3 linked regions of the Macaca fascicularis genome follow. The protein of the gene in region 1 purifies or fractionates together with the protein of each later gene. This does not show direct contact. Links are inferred from orthologs where the notes say so. Each region holds a gene or a part of one and is shown on either strand. Other genes may lie near its edges.

Evidence for each region. Proteins that work in one complex are often made in the same cells at the same time.
Region 2: the proteins of ZC3H4 (region 1) and WDR82 purify together in Homo sapiens (affinity purification with western blotting; 4 studies listed by BioGRID and IntAct, with this or other methods). This does not show direct contact. The link is inferred for Macaca fascicularis from reciprocal best matches to the Homo sapiens genes ZC3H4 and WDR82.
Region 3: the proteins of ZC3H4 (region 1) and CSNK2B purify together in Homo sapiens (affinity purification with mass spectrometry; 3 studies listed by BioGRID and IntAct, with this or other methods). This does not show direct contact. The link is inferred for Macaca fascicularis from reciprocal best matches to the Homo sapiens genes ZC3H4 and CSNK2B.

What each region holds. Positions count from the first base shown.
Region 1 is NC_088393.1:55,065,646-55,071,318, forward strand, and holds part of ZC3H4 (zinc finger CCCH domain-containing protein 4), read right to left. Parts: coding exon 5,668-5,673; intron 5,505-5,667; coding exon 5,161-5,504; intron 2,759-5,160; coding exon 2,507-2,758; intron 1,292-2,506; coding exon 1-1,291. UniProt on the Homo sapiens protein: RNA-binding protein that suppresses transcription of long non-coding RNAs (lncRNAs). LncRNAs are defined as transcripts more than 200 nucleotides that are not translated into protein.
Region 2 is NC_088376.1:115,351,208-115,357,491, forward strand, and holds the start of WDR82 (WD repeat-containing protein 82), read right to left. Parts: upstream 4,296-6,284; 5' UTR 4,224-4,295; coding exon of another isoform or gene 4,022-4,223; coding exon 3,861-4,021; intron 1-3,860. Other genes in the region: uncharacterized protein, read left to right, coding at 4,020-4,223, 4,325-4,639. UniProt on the Homo sapiens protein: Regulatory component of the SET1/COMPASS complex implicated in the tethering of this complex to transcriptional start sites of active genes.
Region 3 is NC_088378.1:140,052,626-140,058,760, reverse strand, and holds CSNK2B (casein kinase II subunit beta), read left to right. Parts: upstream 1-1,840; 5' UTR 1,841-1,943; intron 1,944-2,526; 5' UTR 2,527-2,537; coding exon 2,538-2,609; intron 2,610-3,557; coding exon 3,558-3,660; intron 3,661-4,223; coding exon 4,224-4,339; intron 4,340-4,781; coding exon 4,782-4,857; intron 4,858-5,003; coding exon 5,004-5,193; intron 5,194-5,520; coding exon 5,521-5,611; coding exon of another isoform or gene 5,612-5,687; 3' UTR 5,688-5,742; downstream 5,743-6,135. Other genes in the region: GPANK1 (G patch domain and ankyrin repeat-containing protein 1), read right to left, coding at 1-164. UniProt on the Homo sapiens protein: Regulatory subunit of casein kinase II/CK2.

The DNA.
Region 1 (5,673 bases):
GTGGGGGCTGTAGCGGCCTTGGGCCGGGGCCGGTTGTAGCTGTTGTATCTGTCCGTGGGGGGGCCCCCATCGGCACCGGCCTTCCCTGTCTCTGGCTGTTCCAGGGCAGACTTGCGGACGAACGGGGGCTCCTTCGCCTTGGAGGCCGAGCTCTTGCCATTACCTTCAGCGCCCTTGGGCTGGGCACCTGTGTCAGCGGCCGGCTCTGTGGCTTTGCCCCCCGCGTTGGGAGTCCTCGGGTCGTAGAGGCTGATGCCGCTCAGCACGCTGCTCTGCCCGCTCCCTCCACCCTGGCCCAGCCCACCGGCTGCCAGCACGCGAGGGTCATAGGGAGCGGTGGCTGGTGGGGAGGCATCCCCACTCGGGCTGGCAGTGGGAGAGGGTGCCTCAGCGGGGCTGGGCTTGGTAGCCCGGGAGGAGGCCGTAGAGTCTGTGGGTTTCTGCAGCCGAGGGTCGGTGGGGGCCTTCCGCACCCGGGGGTCACTGGGTTTGTCAGTGGAACCAGGAGTAGCTGAGGAGCCGGTGGCATTGACCGTCTTGAGGATGCGAGAGAGAAGTTCAAAGTCGGGGAGGTTGGCGCCCTGTGTGCTGGAGTCCGTGGAGGCACCTGGGCGCTGCCGGGCGTTGGGGGGCCCTGCCGTTGCGGCGCGGTGCAGGCGGGGGTCCAGGGTGGGCATGGACTGCAGGGCAGCGGGCACGGGGGGCACTGCGTCCTGCTTGGGGACGGGTAGGGGGATCAGGTCCTCGGGATTCCAGAGCACGGTGCGGGCGAAGCTGGGCTTGCTCAGGGTCACGTCCTTCTTGATGTGGCTGAACTGCTGCAGTTGTGACCGTGGGTCCCGCAGGGGGTGCCCGGGGAGTGGGTCCAGGGGAATGTTCACGGCCTTCTCCCGCAGGGCCCGCTCCCCTTCCTCTTCCTCCGCAGGGGGCGGCCCAGACCCCTTGGAACTGCTGGGGCCCACAGGGCTGGAATGAAGGCTGCCTTCAGGCTTGGAGGTGGGCAGGGCGCGAGCCAGCCGAGGATCAGAGGGTCCGGAATCCCCTGGGCCAGACCCGCCAGAAGCCTCTGCGTGGCGGGTGAGTCTGGGGTCCCGGCTGAGGCGAGGGTCTGCCAGCCGGCTTCCTGTTGGGTGTCCCTTCTGGAGGCGGGGGTCTCCCAGCCCACTGCTGCTCAGCTCTCCAACTGAAGCTGGGGGTCGGCTGGACGTCTGCTGCCTCAAGCTCTTCAGGATGGAGGTTACACTGCTTCCACCCTCATCCTCATCACTTGAGTACCAGTTTCCAGTGTCACCTGGGAAAGAACAGAGGAGCAGGGAAGGGTAAGTGGGCGCATCCACCACCCGTCCTCTTGGACCCCACAGCAGCCCACCGTGAGCAGCTCCTTTGCTCGTGCCTCTCAGATCCTCAGGTCCTCCTCTCTAAGGCTCCCTCCCCACAACAGGCGGCTGAGGAGACCCAGGGAGCTAAGGCGCTACCGTTTATGCCATGCTCCCCAGCGCTCCTCAGTGGCGGCACTGCACTAGTGAGTTACTTAAAATAAAACAAACTACTAACCACCCCAGAAAGTAGTGATACTATCATGCCCATTTGACAGATGTGAAAACAGAGGCACGGTGCCGTTACTTAGACATCAGGGCCAGGACTGGGCTGGGACTCCTAACCCAGAGCTCTGGCGTCTCCTCCCGCCCACCTCTGGGCTGGTTCAGCCCCCACTGTGGCAAGTGCAGCTGTGGGCACCTCCTTCTGGAGGTCCTCGTAGCAGATACCATTGACTCAGTTCTGGCTGGGCCTAGGGCTCACAAACACTTGCTCCCAAACCGGCTCACGATGTCCCCATGTCCCAGGGAAGGGCGGCTGGACCAACCAGTCACCAGCTAAGAGGCAGGGCCGGCTGGGCAGACTCAGACATGGGCTCAAGCAAAACCTAGGCCAGTACAGCCTGGGCCATCAGGGGAGCCGCCCCTCTTCCTGCTGTCCCACTGGCTCCTGGGATACTGTCAGGGCCACCTGTGGCCTCTAGTTTCAGGATCCAGAAACCACTTGTCATTTTACCCCAAGGCGGACACCACTAAGTCAACCACACAGCAACTGAGACTTTGTGGCTCATGACTATGATTATTACTGGTTAATTTCAATGACTCTCTTGTCTGTTGGCTCCTTGAGAACATGGTAGGAAAACGGGGGCTTTGAGAGTCTCCCTAAAGCCTCCTCTGGCAGGGCGCAGGCAGCTGATCCTGTTGGCGGCTTTCTCTTCCAGAAACCAGCCCTCCACCCTACTCTATGGGATCAGGGTCTCTCCTGAACCCAACACAGAAAGCCATCCCTGACTGCCAGTTTTCTCAGGGATATACAGCAGCCCCAACCCGGCTTCATGGCCCTGGACAGGGGTCCTCCCTAGCCATGGGCTCCTTCCCGACAGGAAACCCAACCTGGAACACCCCACCACCTCCGCTCCCCTGCACAGTGGCCCAGGGCCTGTGCCCCGGCCCCTGGGGCGGACACGTGCCTTCCTCATTCTCCCGGTCCTGCTTGCTGCTCTCAGCCAGCCTCCTCGCTCTCTCCTCCTCCTCCTGCTGCTTCTGCTGGATCCTCAGGTACAGGGCCCTCTGGGCTGAGGGCAGGAAATCAGGGACACCGGCGCCTGGCTTCGGCCGGCCTGGGGGCCCTCCCTCAGAGAAGCTGTCGGGCTCCAGAGGGTGCTCAGGGAAGAGGTGCTCCCCAGGCTCCCCTGGCAGCTCTTCGTAGTGCCCGTAGTCCTCTGTGGCAGGGAAGAACCGAGGGTTCATGTCGGGAAGGGCCTCCAGGTGCCAACTCCAGCCCCACCCTGCCCCTCACTGCAAACCCACCCAGATGGTGATGGAGAAGGACGCACAGCCTGCCCCTGCCTGCCCTCCCCAGGTCTCAGGGGAACGGAGCCGCCCATGGGTAGCCCCGCCTATGTGAAGAATGAGGTTCAGAGAGGGTTGAGTGATGGGGCAAACGCTTATGAGGTGGAAACAGGATGGAACATCGGATGTACATTTGTAAGACGCAAGGAGAAGGCTTTGAAAAGACAGAAACAGTCCCTCTGGGACGCAGATTCTAGAGAGGCCAGGGATGGATCCTGCACTCTTTCCTGTACTTGTTTAATTATTTTGGATGGACAGGAGTTTCATGGTTTCTTTCTAACAATTAATAAGAAAACACTGTATATCTCATAGTGAACTCAACCATGTTCAACATTAAAAGCCAGGAAAAGAGAATGAAATGAGCCAAAGTGCTGCTCTGGCCAACAGAGGCTCCAGAGTGCCTTCCCTCCTGCTCCACAGCATTAGGGGGTCTCTCAGGAAGCACCGGGCCTCCACCTCCTGCGGTGTGGGCACTGGCACCAACCACCTCACCCCATGCACTCCCCCAGTGCCTGAGCCAAGAGCTGTGGGCAGCGGCACAGGCTGACGTGGGGACGCAGCAGGAGTAAAGGGGAGGGCAGGCTCGGCGACACCTCCTGCATGTTGTGTGTGTGCATGACATGTGAGCATGGGAGACAGCGAGTCACCGAGACGGGGGGATGTCTAGAGTCAGTGCTTCCCCACAGAACGCTATGCAGTGATGGAAATGTTCTAGATCTGCAGGGCAACATGTGGCCACCTAAATCTTCCTGGGGCAGCTGAGCATTTAAAACGTGGTGTCTAAAAAAGTGCACTTGTAACTTAGCTTACATTAATTTCAACTTCGTCAAGTGAACCTGATGGGCCAGCCTGCTCTGTGACACATCCCAGCGCAGAGCTGGGACCCACTCGACGAACCAGACAGCCAAGGGTCCCCCTTCATACAGTCTGTGCACACACCAGAAACCACAGACCACATATGTTAGAGGGAGGATTTTATGAAACAGGATTACCCTAGAGACACCTACTGCTACCAATGTGACCGACTTCTGGTTTCCCGCCAGCAAAGCTTCTCCCATGCACCTTTGAGATGCTTTTGTTAAAGGGAACCCCAGCACCTCATTGTGGCAGCCTGTTTTTCTCATCTTTCTAAAGCACCCACTCTCACTCGAGTACCTGCTCTCCTGGCTCCATGCACCACCTAAAGTCAAAGCCCATGTCTACATTTTGATCTCTAGCCTGGGCCTCTCCCTGATGCCCCTGAAACTACCCCTCAAAATTTCCACATGGCCATCAGAGGGGCAGGCACCCTGGAGTGACTATGCCCCACGTCCAGCGCCCTATCCTCAATGCCGCTCCTACCTGCCTTGCAAAACACACACAGGACTCACACTGCCCTACGGCGCCGCATCCAAACCTCGAAGCCCTGCCTTGCACTCCAGTGGCTGCCCTGCTGCCTCTGCCCAGGGACAGCCCCCAGCAGCTGCCACAGCAGCATCCCCAGCTCAACACAGCGTCGCCCCCGCCCAGAGGTCCCATCGTTCCTCACGTTGCAAGTGCTGCTTCACTTCTCAGAGAGACTTTTGTGACCATCCCCATTGAGGCACTGAGCCTTCTGGCCCACCACCACGGTACCCTACCTTTTCTTCTAACAATGGCCAGTGCTGAAAGGAGCCAACTCCTCTATCTACACGCTTGCCACCTGCTTCATTCCACCAAGATGCAACTGGGCAAGGACAGTGGGGGCCTACTGTGCCTGGCCCTCCTCCTCCAGAGGGCTGCACATCGCATCTCCTACAGCTGTAGCGTCATCTAAACCCCTCTGCTCACTGGACACATGTTACCAATGCAAAAGGAAAAAAAGGCAGGAAAACGGCCGGTAAAGGGCACAGAACCCGCAGAGTCCTGGGGTAGACACTGGTTGCTCCAAGCCGAGAACTGCCTGGAAAGAGAGAGTTTTGGCCAGGCCACTAACTGAGCCCTGATGAGCCCATCAGCCTCTCAGCCTCACACCCTTGCACACTCGTCCCTCTAACTTCCCATGCTTCCGATTCCAGGCACAGCTTGCAAAATTAAAAAGAAATAACCTATAATGATAATAAACAGAATATTCCTTTCTTCCTCAACAGAATAATAAATCCTATGTTACTGAAAACATTCAACCATTAAATGGGACAGAGATGGAGTCATGCTTTCTAAGAGACTCAGACAAAGGAAGAAAAATCACATCTCCCTGACTACTCCACTGTGTAAAGCCCGCAACCCCAGGCAGTCACACCTGGAGCCCCCATACCTGCATCCCCCAGGAGTCCGGACTCCATCTCCATGCCCTCCTGCTGCTGGTAGAAGTTTTCATAGAAGTTCTGGGCTGGCGGGATAGGGGGCATCATTCCAGAATGTGGGGAGTCTCCAGGGCCGTAGGGCATCATTGGCGGGCCACCAGGGCCCATGGGTGGGCCAGGATTCATGCCAGGGCCCATCTGCATGTCGGGGTGCATGTCCGGGTGCATGTCGGGGTGCATGTCTGGGTGCATGTCAGGGTGCATGTCAGGATGCATTGGACCGCCCATTGGCCCTGGGGGTCCCATGTTGGGCCCAGGGCCCATTGGCCCTGGGGGTCCACCAGGTCCAGGGAACCTAGAAGAAGGAAAAGGCACCTGTGAGGGAAGCTGCAGACCAGGACTCCCACAGCTGGGGAGAGAGGCAGGACCCTGCCCCAGCCAGGCTTACCCTGACAAGAGGAACCTGGCTGGGCCCAGGATAGTGTTCCCTGCCTACCACGGGGGCCCAGGGCACTCACCTCACA
Region 2 (6,284 bases), on another chromosome or scaffold:
CCCAGCACTTTGGGAGGCCTAGGTGAGAGGATCCTTGAGCTCAGGAGTTTGAGACCAGCCTGGGCAACCTGGTGAGACCTTGTCTCCACTAAAATAAAAATAACCAAGTAAGCTGGCAAGTGCTTGTAGGCCCAACTACTTTGGAGACTGAGGTGGGAGGATCGCTTCAGCCCGGAAGATGAAGGCTTTAGTGAGCTATAAGCATGCTATTGCACTCCAGCCTGGGCAACAGGGGAAGACCTTTGTCTTTAAAAAAAATAAAATAAAAAGGGCCAGGTGCAGTGGCTCACGCCTGTAATCACAGCACTTTGGAGGCCGAGGTGGGTGGACCAATTGAGGTAAGGCGTTGAGACCAACATGGCCAACATTGCGAAACCTCATCTCTACTAAAAATACAAAAATTAGCTGGGCATAGTGATGGGCGCCTGTAATCCCAGCTACTCGGGAGGCTGAGGCACAAGAAGTGCTTGAACCCAGGAGCCAGAGGTTGCAGCAGTGAGCCAAGATCACACCACTGCACTCCAGCCTAGGAAAGAGTGAGGCTATCTCAAACAAACAAACAAACAAAAAAGAATAAAATAAAGGCTGGGCAGGCACAGTGGCTCATGCCTGTAATCCCAGCACTTTGGGAGGCTGAGGCGGTGCATAACCTGAGGTTGGGCGTTTGAGATCAGCCTGACCAACATGGAGAAACTCCGTATTCACTAAAAATACAAAATTAGCCAGGCATGGTGGTGCATGCCTGTAATCCCAGCTACTCAGGAGGCTGAGGCAGGAGAATCGCTTGAACCCGGGAGGCAGAGGTTGCAGTGAGCTGAGATCACGCCATTGCACTCCAGCCTGGGCAACAAGAGCGAAACTCCGTATCAAAAAAAAAAAAAAAAGATACAATACCATGTCTTCCAAGGAAATACTTCTTTTCTTCTGAGGTTGGTTTGACCTATACTAGCAACAAAATTTTTTGTCATATTATTGCCTAGAATGGAAACTAAAGAGGTTGTTTAATATCCAGAGAATTTGACCAATGTCACATACCTAGTCACAGGCCAAATTAGAACGCAGTTCTCTCCTACCTACCAGGCCACTCCTTCACCACAGATAACAAAACAAGGTCACAATTAATTGATCAAAGAAAACTCAAAAGAGCATGCCCTGTAGTATTGTATCAATACTAAATTTCCTAATTTGGATCTCTGGTTATGTAAGAATGTCTTTGTGCTTAGAAAATCCATGTTGAGCCAGGTGTGGTGGCTCACACCTGTAATCCCAGCACTTTGGGAGGCCGAGGAGGGCAGATCACGAGGTCAGGAGTTCGAGACCAGCCTGACCAACATGGTGAAACCCTGTCTCTACTAAAAACACAAAAATTAGCCGGGCTTGGTGACGCACACCTGTAATCCCAGCTACTCAGGAGGCTAAAGCAGGAGAATCGCTTGAACCCAGGAGCTGGAGGTTGCAGTGAGCCAAGATCACGCCACTGCACTCCAGCCTGGGCGGCCAAGCGAGACTCTATCTCAAAAAAAAAAAAAAAAAAAGGAAAGAAAAAGAAAGATGAAAGAAAGTCCATGTTGAAGTGTTTAGAGATAAAAGGGCTTGATACCTCCAACTCTAAGGGTGGGGGGAGGCACACAGTACATATAAATATTTACCTACAGTGATGAAGCAAATGCAGAAAATGTAACCAGTTACTGAATCATATGGGAGTTATCTGAAACATTGTTGTAACTTTCTGTTCATTTGCAATTATGTAAAAAATGCTATGTGAGTGAATAAACTGCCTTATGTCACAAAACTAGCATTTTACTTTTAACAAGACAGGATTTGGCCAGGCGCAGCACGTCATGCCTGTAATCCTAGCACTCTGGGAGGCCGAGGTGGGTGGATCACTTGAGGTCAGGAGTTCAAGACCTGCCTGGTCAACATGGTGAAACCCGTCTCTACTAAAAATACAAAAATTAGCAGGGCATGGTGGCAGGCGCCTGTAATCCCAGCTACTTGTGAAGCTGAGGCAGGAGAATCGCTTTAACCCGGGAGGTAGAGGTTGCAGTGAGCCAAGATCATGCCATTGCACTCCAGCCTGGGCAACAGAGGGAGACTCTGTCCCAAAAACACAAGGAAAAAAAAAAAAGACAGGACTTCACGTCAAGGTCATCCTTCCCAAATCAAAATTATGCCAAATTTGGGGACAAACTGCAAAGAAAGGCTATCACAACCTTCATTTTCTTTAAATGAGGATATATATCTCCATCCTGAGGTTCTGGGAAGAGGTTCTAATCTGTGCAAAAGCACTAAACATTTCATGCAAGCCAGCTTCAAATTACTCCTCCAGGACCCCACAATGCCAACCCTACTACCACACCTTTAAGTGTTACTTCCTCTTCTAAACTGATTCAAGTGACCAGACCAGGACAGAAATCTATCTACTCAAGGAGTAACACTGACTCAAATAACTAAGTATTTGTTCAGCTAACAATTCCCTCTTCCTTAAGACCACCACTGCAGACCACTCTGCTACATACTGCAGGCAGATCCAGAGCCGGTTACGTAATAATTTCTCACAGTCCCAGTGGGAAAAAAAATTAGGGGGGATACCATTATAGCTCAGTCCAAACTAGCATTATTTCAGATAATCAAATTCACAAATGAAGAGATACGTTCCAAAAGAAAGACACCAGTTTAAAAAAAAAAAAAAAAAAAAGGCAAAAGGAACAGCTGGAGAAGGTAGGAAAAAACCCAAGACCTCACAATAATAATAATAGTATCTGTTACTAGGTAACAAAATCAAGTCTGACAAAACCAGAGGTCACCGAATTAAACCAAACATCAGCAAGCCTTCTTGGGGAAGGTGGCTAAGGGTAAAACAAATTTAATCTAAACTAGTTTTGGCTCCAAGGAGCTGCAAGTCCACAGGCGTGCGGTGAGGGGGCTGACAAGGACCCCCAGGGGAAAAGTCAAAGTGCTGTGCTTAGATTTTGCGAAAAGATGCAGGTATGGTGGGTCTCCAGATGACTTGTGGCAACATAAAAGTTTCATGATCAGAATTGGAATTCAAAGTGGACCAAAAAGTGTAATAGAAAAAAAAAGTATGAAAGGAAACCTGAAATTGTTCTACGATGCTTGCTTTGTTTTAACGGAAGCTCACATTCAGGTCAGGATGGGAAGACCAAGTTCGTTTGTGTGTGGCAAAAAGAAGTTTTAGATGTTGCTGAAAAGTTCACTTATGAACGTGGGCACCGAGTTTGAAAGAATAAGAGAAAGGCTACGAGCACGAAGAAAAAGCAAGGGGGCTCAAAGAGGCACAACAAATAAATCCTGACAGCTAAGAACTGCAACCCACGCTGTCTGACGGCAGAAAGGCCGCGGGAAGCTGAGGGGCAGGGGATAGGCGGAGTGCCAGGGCGGAATCGAGGTCACAGCGGAGAGGGCAGAAGAGCGAGCTGACGCTGCCGAAGGAGGCAGGAGAGCAGCCCCTGCAGTCCTGCGTCGAGGCCGGAGCAGACCAGCACCTCTGACAGCCTGAGAAGCTGAAAACGCTACCTGCTGGGCCCACGGTGGGCGGACCGGGCGTTTAAAGGTCAAGGTCAAGGTGGGGTTTGGCAAGCGATGCATAGCGCTCAAAGGAGACCGAAAACTTACAAATAAGAATGCTATTATAAAATTATGACTATCGTAATTTTTTTTAATAAGAAAAAATAAAAGGTCTCCTGGACTGCTGCGGGGTGGAGGCGGCCCTGGCAGGAACGCGTGCAAAATAGGCCGGGGGCTGAAGTTGGAACGGAGGGCGGGCCGAGGGACCAGTGCTGGGCCACCGGAGGGAGGGAGGCACTGAGACTTGGGCCCAGGGCCTCCGCCGCACTCACTTGCCCTCCTGGCAGTCATAGAGCACGATGGAGTCGTCGTCGCTACTCGAGATGACCGTCTCGCCGTTGGGGCTGAAATCGAAGCAGTTAATCTTGTCCGAGTTTTCGCGGAACACCTTAGCGACGCGGAAGCTCCGCAGCACGCTATCGGTCAGCTTCATGGCGGCGGCTGAGGAAGGCAGCGGCGGCGCAGGACCGGGGCGGGGCCCGGCGGCGAACGGGCGGGCTGCCGAGGGGCCAACCCAGGCGGGGCGGGCGCCGCGCCGGCGGCTAGAGGGAAGTCGGCCAACAGTTGGGCCACCTCCTCCTCTTCCTCCTGCTTGGACGAGGGTCTTCTGCCTGAACTGCGGAGCCTCGCCGTCTGTTCGTCTTCACAGCCACCTCACGGACAACCGGCGCGTCGCCGGCTCATTGTGTCCGCCATTTTGGGGCGACAGGCAGAAGCTGAGGGCGAGGAGCCTTAGCCGCGGCGCACGCCGGGAAAGGGGGCGGGGCGGGAACGGCCTCGCGAGGCCGGGAGTGGGGGTGGTGACGTCAGCGCGGCCGCGGCTGAGTGTAGTGGCAGGGCTGGCCGCTGGCAGGGAGGGGCTCAGACGCGCGGGGCCTTCTCCGGGGGTCGGAAGGTTGCGGGTGCCTTGGAAGCTGAGGGCCCTTGCGCTAGACTGCAACCCCTGCGAAGGCTCTGGCGCCTCCTGCAGGCTTCCCGACCACAAGCCGCGTGGGAGGGGGTACTGCAGGGTCGAGTACGCCGCTGGAGGCCGGTTTTGGGGGCGAATCAGGTGAGCCGCTCGCGGGCAGGCTTGACCGCTAGTCCACCGCAGCGCCCGCTTAGACAGCTTCGACCTCTTTTTTTTTTTTTTTTTTTTTGAGATGGAGTCTCTCGCTTTGTCGCTCAGTTGCGCTATCTCGGCTCACCACAACCTCCGCCTCCCGGGTTCAAGGGATTCTCCTGCCTCAGCCTCCCGTGCAACTGGGATTACAGGCGCGCGCCACCACGCCTGCTAATTTTGTATTTTTAGAAGAGACGGGGTTTCACCATGTTGGCCAGGCTGGTCTCGAACTCCTGACCTCAGGCAGTCCGCCCGCCACCCGCACCCGGCCTGGTGTTCTTAATCGAGGTAGACTTTAGGTACAGTAAAAATCAGCCGCCTTGGGCCGGGCGCGGTGGCTCACGCCTTTCCATCCCACCTCTTTGGGAGGCCGAGGCAGGATGATCGCTTGAGCTCAGGAGTTTGAGACCAGCCTGGCCAACATGACAAAACCCCATCTCTTCTAAAATACAAAAAATTAGCCGGGCATGATGGCGCGGCTGAGGCACGAGAATTGAGAAAGGGAGAGGCTGCAGTGAGCCGAAATCGTGCCACTGCATTCCAGCCTGGGCGACAGAACAGACGGTCTCCCTCCAAAAATTAGCCTTTTTAGTGGCTAGTTTTATGTTCTAACACCCATAACACAGTCATGCAATCACCACCACATTCAAAATATGGAAGAGTTGCACTATCCTGTTTGTAGTCAACAGGATTATTCTAAAGGTTCTATCATATAAGTGATTCTTTGCCTTAAAAGAAGTTTATCTCTAACAAAGGAAAACAGTATTTGAACAGAAAATAGGAACCAAGCTTCCTAACCTTAACTTTATGGGCAAAGGGTTACACTCAGTGCCAGCCTATGTAGCTTCACAGATCTCTATCTTGTGTGAAGCTCCTCCAAAGGTTAAAAAGCCTGGGGTTTCCAACAGTGGAGATGGGGATTATTTATTTTTGCTTTCTTTAGCTAAAGAGAAACAAAAACAAGGAAAGGCTATGAGACATTTCAGTCGCTATTAGGAAGGTGTGATATCCAGAGACCTGTGCAATGGTAAAAAACAAAATGGAAACCCTGGGACAGCTGGGGTCTTTCTAGAAAGAACTTAGAGGCTGTATCCCAACCCCCTGGGTAAAAGGAGAGCCAGGATCCTTATACATAAAGAGAAGTTGTTCTCTAAGGGAAGAGGGCAAGTTCCTGGCTAAGTCTGGGGTATAATTGCCTCCTGACAAAGAGCAGAGCTTCTGGCTACAATTTGTTCTGGGGTCTGGAAAAAGCCGGTTTGAGTGAAACCTGAATAGATGGCAACTTTCCAAACTGCACAGCAATGGAAGAAAAACCCTCCACGCCCCAGATCACTCACTCTGCTTCCCTGTAATTCCTGTGCCTTTATTTCAGAAGCTAGAAAGGCTGATACAGAGTCTGCTTCGAATAGTTTAGAAGGCAACAAGGACAGATCGAGTGCCATGTTCTGGAACTGTCGGGAAGTGAACGCGCCCAGTAAGATGATGCCGTATTTTGGTCCATGTTAATCTACAAAAATAACCACAGAAACAGCTGTAATCTACTGAATGTTGCCGGCCAAAAGAAATCTTTTCAGGGTATCTTTCAAGTATTGTA
Region 3 (6,135 bases), on another chromosome or scaffold:
GGAACGCAGCTCTCATCCCCAATAAGGGCCTCATAGAAAGCTCGGGCTGCAGCTCCATCCAGGGTGGACTCTGGCTCCTCGGGCTGTGGCTGCTGCTGCCCATCCTTCCAGAGGTCGCTGGGGTCAGTGGCTGGGGTGAAGGTGATGAGGAAGGGCTGGGACATGGCTTTTGGGAGAACTGAGAAAATGATACCAGGCAAGGGAAGGATGCGACAAGCAAGCCAAGCTCCTGGTGACTCTGTAGCAACCAGAGCCTCAGGGACCTGCTGGGATGAGAAAAAGTAGTCAAAAACACTTTCCTGCCGCTAAAGTGACCCCACAACTTAAGACTCTGCAGGGTCTAAGGGAGAGAGTATATGCGTAAAAACACGAAACCCTACAATACCGACTTTGCTCCTTAGTAAAGATTAATCAAACTCCATGAGACAGTCGTCCAGAGGTCCTGCGTCCGGCCCCCACCCCCATCCTTACCAACAATAAATACCAGCCTCTTTCTGAAATCACTTTCTCACCCCGTAAAACAGACATACCAGTAGGAAAAAAAAAAATCAAACCTGGCCCTTTAAGTCTTCCGTGATCCCATTTCGGAGTTTCCTCTTCCCAAACAAAAATAGACGGGTCACTCCCTAGAAGATCTCGGGGAGAGGCTCCTATACGTGTTGCCGTGTAGCTTCCGTAACGCAAAATGGCGCTATTCTGATCAGCAGAGTTGACACAATCAAATAGCCACACGGCACGGAGACGCATGCGTGGCGACAACAACAACAAAAACCACCACCCACATTACTTGATGGCTCAGGCGTGCGCAAAGCTCCCGGTTCAGTTTCCCGCGCTGGAACTTTTCCAATAGTAAACGAGCAAAGCTCCGCGCGCCCAGGTGGCGCGAGCGCTAGGATCTGTCGGTTGGGGTCCTACTTTTACATAACGCCCCCACAATGCCCTTCGCCTTCCTCTACGTGGCCCCCGCTCCAAGCCCATTTTCTGGAGCTAGGAATCCACTCTCTGGGTTAGGAAAGGCCCTCAGGAGGCGGAGGGAAACCTGTGGAATGCCGAGAAGCCGTGTAATGAAATAACGTCACGCCTGCCCCTCACCATTACTCTGACCAGGGTTCGAAGGTCACACTTAGAGACTAAGGGGAAATGGAGAAGTGCAAGGGGACGAGCAGAATGGCTGGCACCACCTCAGGTTAGCGCACTGGGCCGTTCTGGTTCTCACCCAGCCCAGCCCAGCCCAGCCCAGCCCAGCCCAGCCCAGCCCAGCCCAGCCCTCCCAACCCAAGTCCCTACGCACGGAGCCAAGCCGCACCTCTCGCCTCATGAGGCCGGAGCCCGGAGTAAAACAGAAGGCCCGTCAAGGGTCTCTGGCGGGACTGACTCGCACTAGGGGCCCAACAGGCAATAAGGACCCAGCGCATTGGCCAAGGATAGGCCAGTCCCCAGGGAAGCAGCACCGCGTCGGGACTAGAGGGCAACTGTGAGGAGAGCTGCGAGGAGGGGTCCAGCCTGGCTCCCTCCTTTCCCCGCCCTAAGTCAGCTTCTTCGCCCAGTGAGCACACAACTGTATTGCCCAGGCTCCCAGGCCCCGAACGCCATACCTGGTTTCCGCTTCCGGTGGCTTCTCGTTGCGCCCCGCCCGCAAGCGTCCTCCTCCGGGGCTTCGTGACAGCCAGGTCGTGCGCGGGTCATCCTGGGATTGGTAGTTCGCTTTCCCTCACTTAGCCGGTTTCTCTCTCTACCGGGGACTCCGCGTCCCGGCATCCACCGCGGCACCTGACCCTTGGCGCTTGCGTGTTGCCCTCTTCCCCACCCTCCCCAATTTCCACTCCCCCCACCCCACTTCGCCTGCCGCGGTCGGGTCCGCGGCCTGCGCTGTAGCGGTCGCCGCCGTTCCTTCGAAGTAGCAACTTCCCTACCCCACCCCAGTCCTGGTCCCCGTCCAGCTGGTGAGTCTGAGGTCTTCGCTGCTCCTAGTCGCTTGTCGCTGGGAGCCGCACATGGGTCTCCGCACTTTGATATGGGGGCGGGGGGAGGAAGCAACCAGGTCCGGCAAGGAGGGAGAGGTGGCTTGAGGAGCGGAGGGGGGATGTGTGGAATCCGGTGAAAGGGACCTGACAGTCGCCCCCAACCCTTGAGAAAAGGAGGCGCCCGATTCTTGCTTGAGAGTGATAAACTTGGAAATCCTTGGGAAAGGCGCCGGGGTCGTGCAGAGACTTGCATTGGTACGGAGCCTGAGTCGAGGTCCCTGCCGGAGTTGACACAGAGAAGAGAGGGCCCTGGCTTTCGGGAGCTCCAGGGACGTGGGTCGGGCTGGTGGGTCAAAGTATCTGTTGGCTTCTTTCAAGTGGTGGGACCCCAAAGAATGTTTAACGTCAAAGAAAAGGGAACTGAGATGTAAATTGGAGGAGTTGGAGAGGAGTGCTTCAGAGTTTGGGATCCTTTAAGAAAGGGTGGTTCTAATGTGGGAGGAGGGAGGATACCCGAGGCAGGGAAGGAGAACTTGAGCTTTACTGACACTCTTTTTTTCAGCTGACGTGAAGATGAGCAGCTCAGAGGAGGTGTCCTGGATTTCCTGGTTCTGTGGGCTCCGTGGCAATGAATTCTTCTGTGAAGTGAGTTCTCTTCGACCTCCCTACTTGCTGGCTTCACATATCTTCCCACCAGATGTTCCTTCACGTATTCCACTTCTACACTGTTCTCTTACATACTACTTGAAAACTTCCCATCAACGAAGAGTCCCCTCAATAACCCCCGACGAACCTGTGCTAAAGTGGCAAAACTGGGGCCCAAGTTTCGACTCTGCCACCCTCCAGCAGGCAATTTGTGTCTTTTTCTTTATCTTTTTTTTGAGACTGGGTCTCACTGTGTCGCCCAGGCTGGAGTGTAGTGGTGCGATCTCGGCTCACTGCGACCTCTGCCCCCCAGGTTCAAGCGATTCTCCTGCTCCAGCCACCCAAGTAGCTGGGATTACAAGTACCCGCCACCACGCCCGGCTAATTTTTGGATTTTTAGTAGAGACAGGGTTTCACCATGTTGGCCAGGCTGGTCTCAAACTCCAGACCTCAGGTGATCTGCCCGCCTCAGCCTCCCAAAGTGCTGGGATTACAGGCATAAGCCATTGCGCCCAGCCTGTATCTTTTATTACTAAAGTTGTACTGCTAGTACCTGTCTCAGCTGGCTGTTAGGAAAATTGAAATGCTACGTATTGAAATGTTTTGTTCAGAAACCATGCCGTTCAGCTTCCATCCTCCTCAGCCAGCTGAGAGGACAAAACTGGTTCCTAGAGATGGAGTACAGGAGTAGGGACAGAGATCTTGAAAAGAATGTCTAAGAAAAAGATTGCTGTACCTGCTTATCCTTAGAAAAGAAAAGCCAAAGCTTTATGGGAGGGAGTATAGGTGAACTAGGGAGAGACGCAAGTACTTCTGCTGAGTTGGGAGTGAGAAACAAGCGGAACAGATGCAGTTGTGTTGATGATAAGGCATCAGTTAGAGCATTTTGCCCAGGTCAAAGATGGGGATTTTGATATGGGTTCCCTCTTGGCTTCCATGTCCCAACAGGTGGATGAAGACTACATCCAGGACAAATTTAATCTTACTGGACTCAATGAGCAGGTTCCTCACTATCGACAAGCTCTAGACATGATCTTGGACCTGGAGCCTGGTGAGGCACCCTCAGGGTTGTTTTGTGTGTGTGCATGCACTTTTTTTCTCTTCAAATCTATATTCACTTACTTGAATTTTGAAATTTCCTTTGGTTCTCTGATTTCTTTAACCCCAAATTCATGCTTTATTTTGATCCTCCACCTGACTGTGTCTAGTTTTGTGACGTATATCACTTGTTCCCATGTTTTCTAAATCCACAATTCAGATGTTTTCCAAAATATGTTTCCTCATGGGTCTGGTTTGCTATTTCTCCTGCTTTGCACCTTCCAGTCTAGAGTTTCATCTTTTGCATTGACATTGTTGCAGTTATGTATCGGGGAGGGAGCTGGGAGGGAGAGTGGGGAGCGGAGGCTAAAGAGGTGTGAAGAGAAGACAGAGCTGTCTTGGGTTGGCGCAAGGGTCAGAAGCCCAGGTTTCTGGGTCACATGCCCAGATGTTGGATGGGGTAAGGCCCAAAAGTAGGTGCCAGGCGAACTGAATAGCCCGCACCCCCTGGATATGGGCAGGGCACCTAGGAAAGCTGAAAAACAAGTGGTTGCATTTGGCCGGGCTGTGTTTCAGATGAAGAACTGGAAGACAACCCCAACCAGAGTGACCTGATTGAGCAGGCTGCCGAGATGCTTTATGGATTGATCCACGCCCGCTACATCCTTACCAACCGTGGCATTGCCCAGATGGTGAGGCCTCTCTGCTCCTAATTGCCTCCTTCTGAGCAGTAAGGGACACAGGTTCCTGCAGCAAGAAGTCATGTTTAAGCCTTGTTTAAGGAAACTGGCTGAGAAGAGGAGAAGAACCCCAGGCTTGGGCCTGGGAATTGAATTCTGATTGGGGGTCATCCTGAAGGGATAATTTTCAGGGAGGGAGACAGTCCTTGAACAGAGAGTTGTGATAGACTGCCTCTTCCTCAGGGAACAAACAACAAATGGCTCTGATGGTTTGTAGCCTGCCTAACTGGAAGAAAGGCAACATAGGAGTTTGAGAGCCCATCTGGGCCAGAGAAGGGGCCTCTGGACAGAGGTGGGAGGAGTGGGGGACAGAGTGATATGGGTTGAGCTGAGAAGGGAGTTGCCTCTTCTCTTCACACCTACCTGCCAACCCCTTCCATTTTATTCACTTCAGTTGGAAAAGTACCAGCAGGGAGACTTTGGTTACTGTCCTCGTGTGTACTGTGAGAACCAGCCAATGCTTCCCATCGGTGAGTGTTGAAGAAGGGAAAGGAAGGCACCTTGTGGCAGTCTTACGGGAAGGAGTTAGGGCTCAGCATCTTGGGGCCTGAGTCCTGAGGGGAGGTTAAGTAGGAACAGGGAGATACCTGGCCTGCTGAGTCTGGCTGTCTCCCAGGCCTTTCAGACATCCCAGGTGAAGCCATGGTGAAGCTCTACTGCCCCAAGTGCATGGATGTGTACACACCCAAGTCATCGAGACACCATCACACGGATGGCGCCTACTTTGGCACTGGTTTCCCTCACATGCTCTTCATGGTGCATCCCGAGTACCGGCCCAAGAGACCCGCCAACCAGTTTGTGCCCAGGTAGGGAGCAGGGAGAGTCATTAAGGGTCAAAGGAAAGGCCTAAGATCCCCCAGAGAGAGGGGAGGATGGGGCATGGCCCTTTCTTGAGGCCTGCTTCTCCCAGAATCGGCATCTCCCTGCGGAGTGACTGTGGGAAAGTTATTTGATTGTCTGTGCTTCAGTTACCTTATCATAGAATGTTCTTGAGCTGAGAAGTTGGGAACCACTAGGCTTAAGCTCTGAGCAGGTCCATGGAGGAGTTCAGGTGGGGAGGTGGGAATGCAGGTGACTAGCAGGGTCTGGATGGGGCTCATGCTACTGCCTCTCTGACCTCTGCCCTGGTCCAGGCTCTACGGTTTCAAGATTCATCCGATGGCCTACCAGCTGCAGCTCCAAGCCGCCAGCAACTTCAAGAGCCCAGTCAAGACGATTCGCTGATTCCCTACCCCACCTGTCCTGCACTTCCTTTCCTTTTTGCCACCCTTTCAGGAACCCTGTATGGTTTTTAGTTTAAATTAAAGGAGTCATTATTGTGGTGGGAATATGAAATAAAGTGGAAGAAAAGGCCATGAGCTAGTCTGCTGGTGCTTGCGGTTGGGGAAGGGAAGGTGATGGTGTGTTGGACTCCAGGGGCCCTCATGGCCCAGCCCACCCTCCCCAGATTGAAAACCAGGACAGATTTGTGCTCAGTGAATTGGGTGATGTTTTTAGTATAGAGCAGAACAGAATTCCTAGGACTGTGTGTGATGAAGTGCAAGGTCAAAAGGAAAAGACAGAAAAAGCATGTTTTAAAGATGAGAAGTATTTGGATACCTATAACTGTCTGTCTATACTGTAAGGTGCTTAATCAGCAACTCCATCTTTCAGTTTTAAAGGAAAAGTAGCCCTAAAGTCAGTATAACTAAGGGTGGAATGAGGTGGGACAAGGTCCAGAATTACTGCTCAGTGATGTGTGTGTGTGC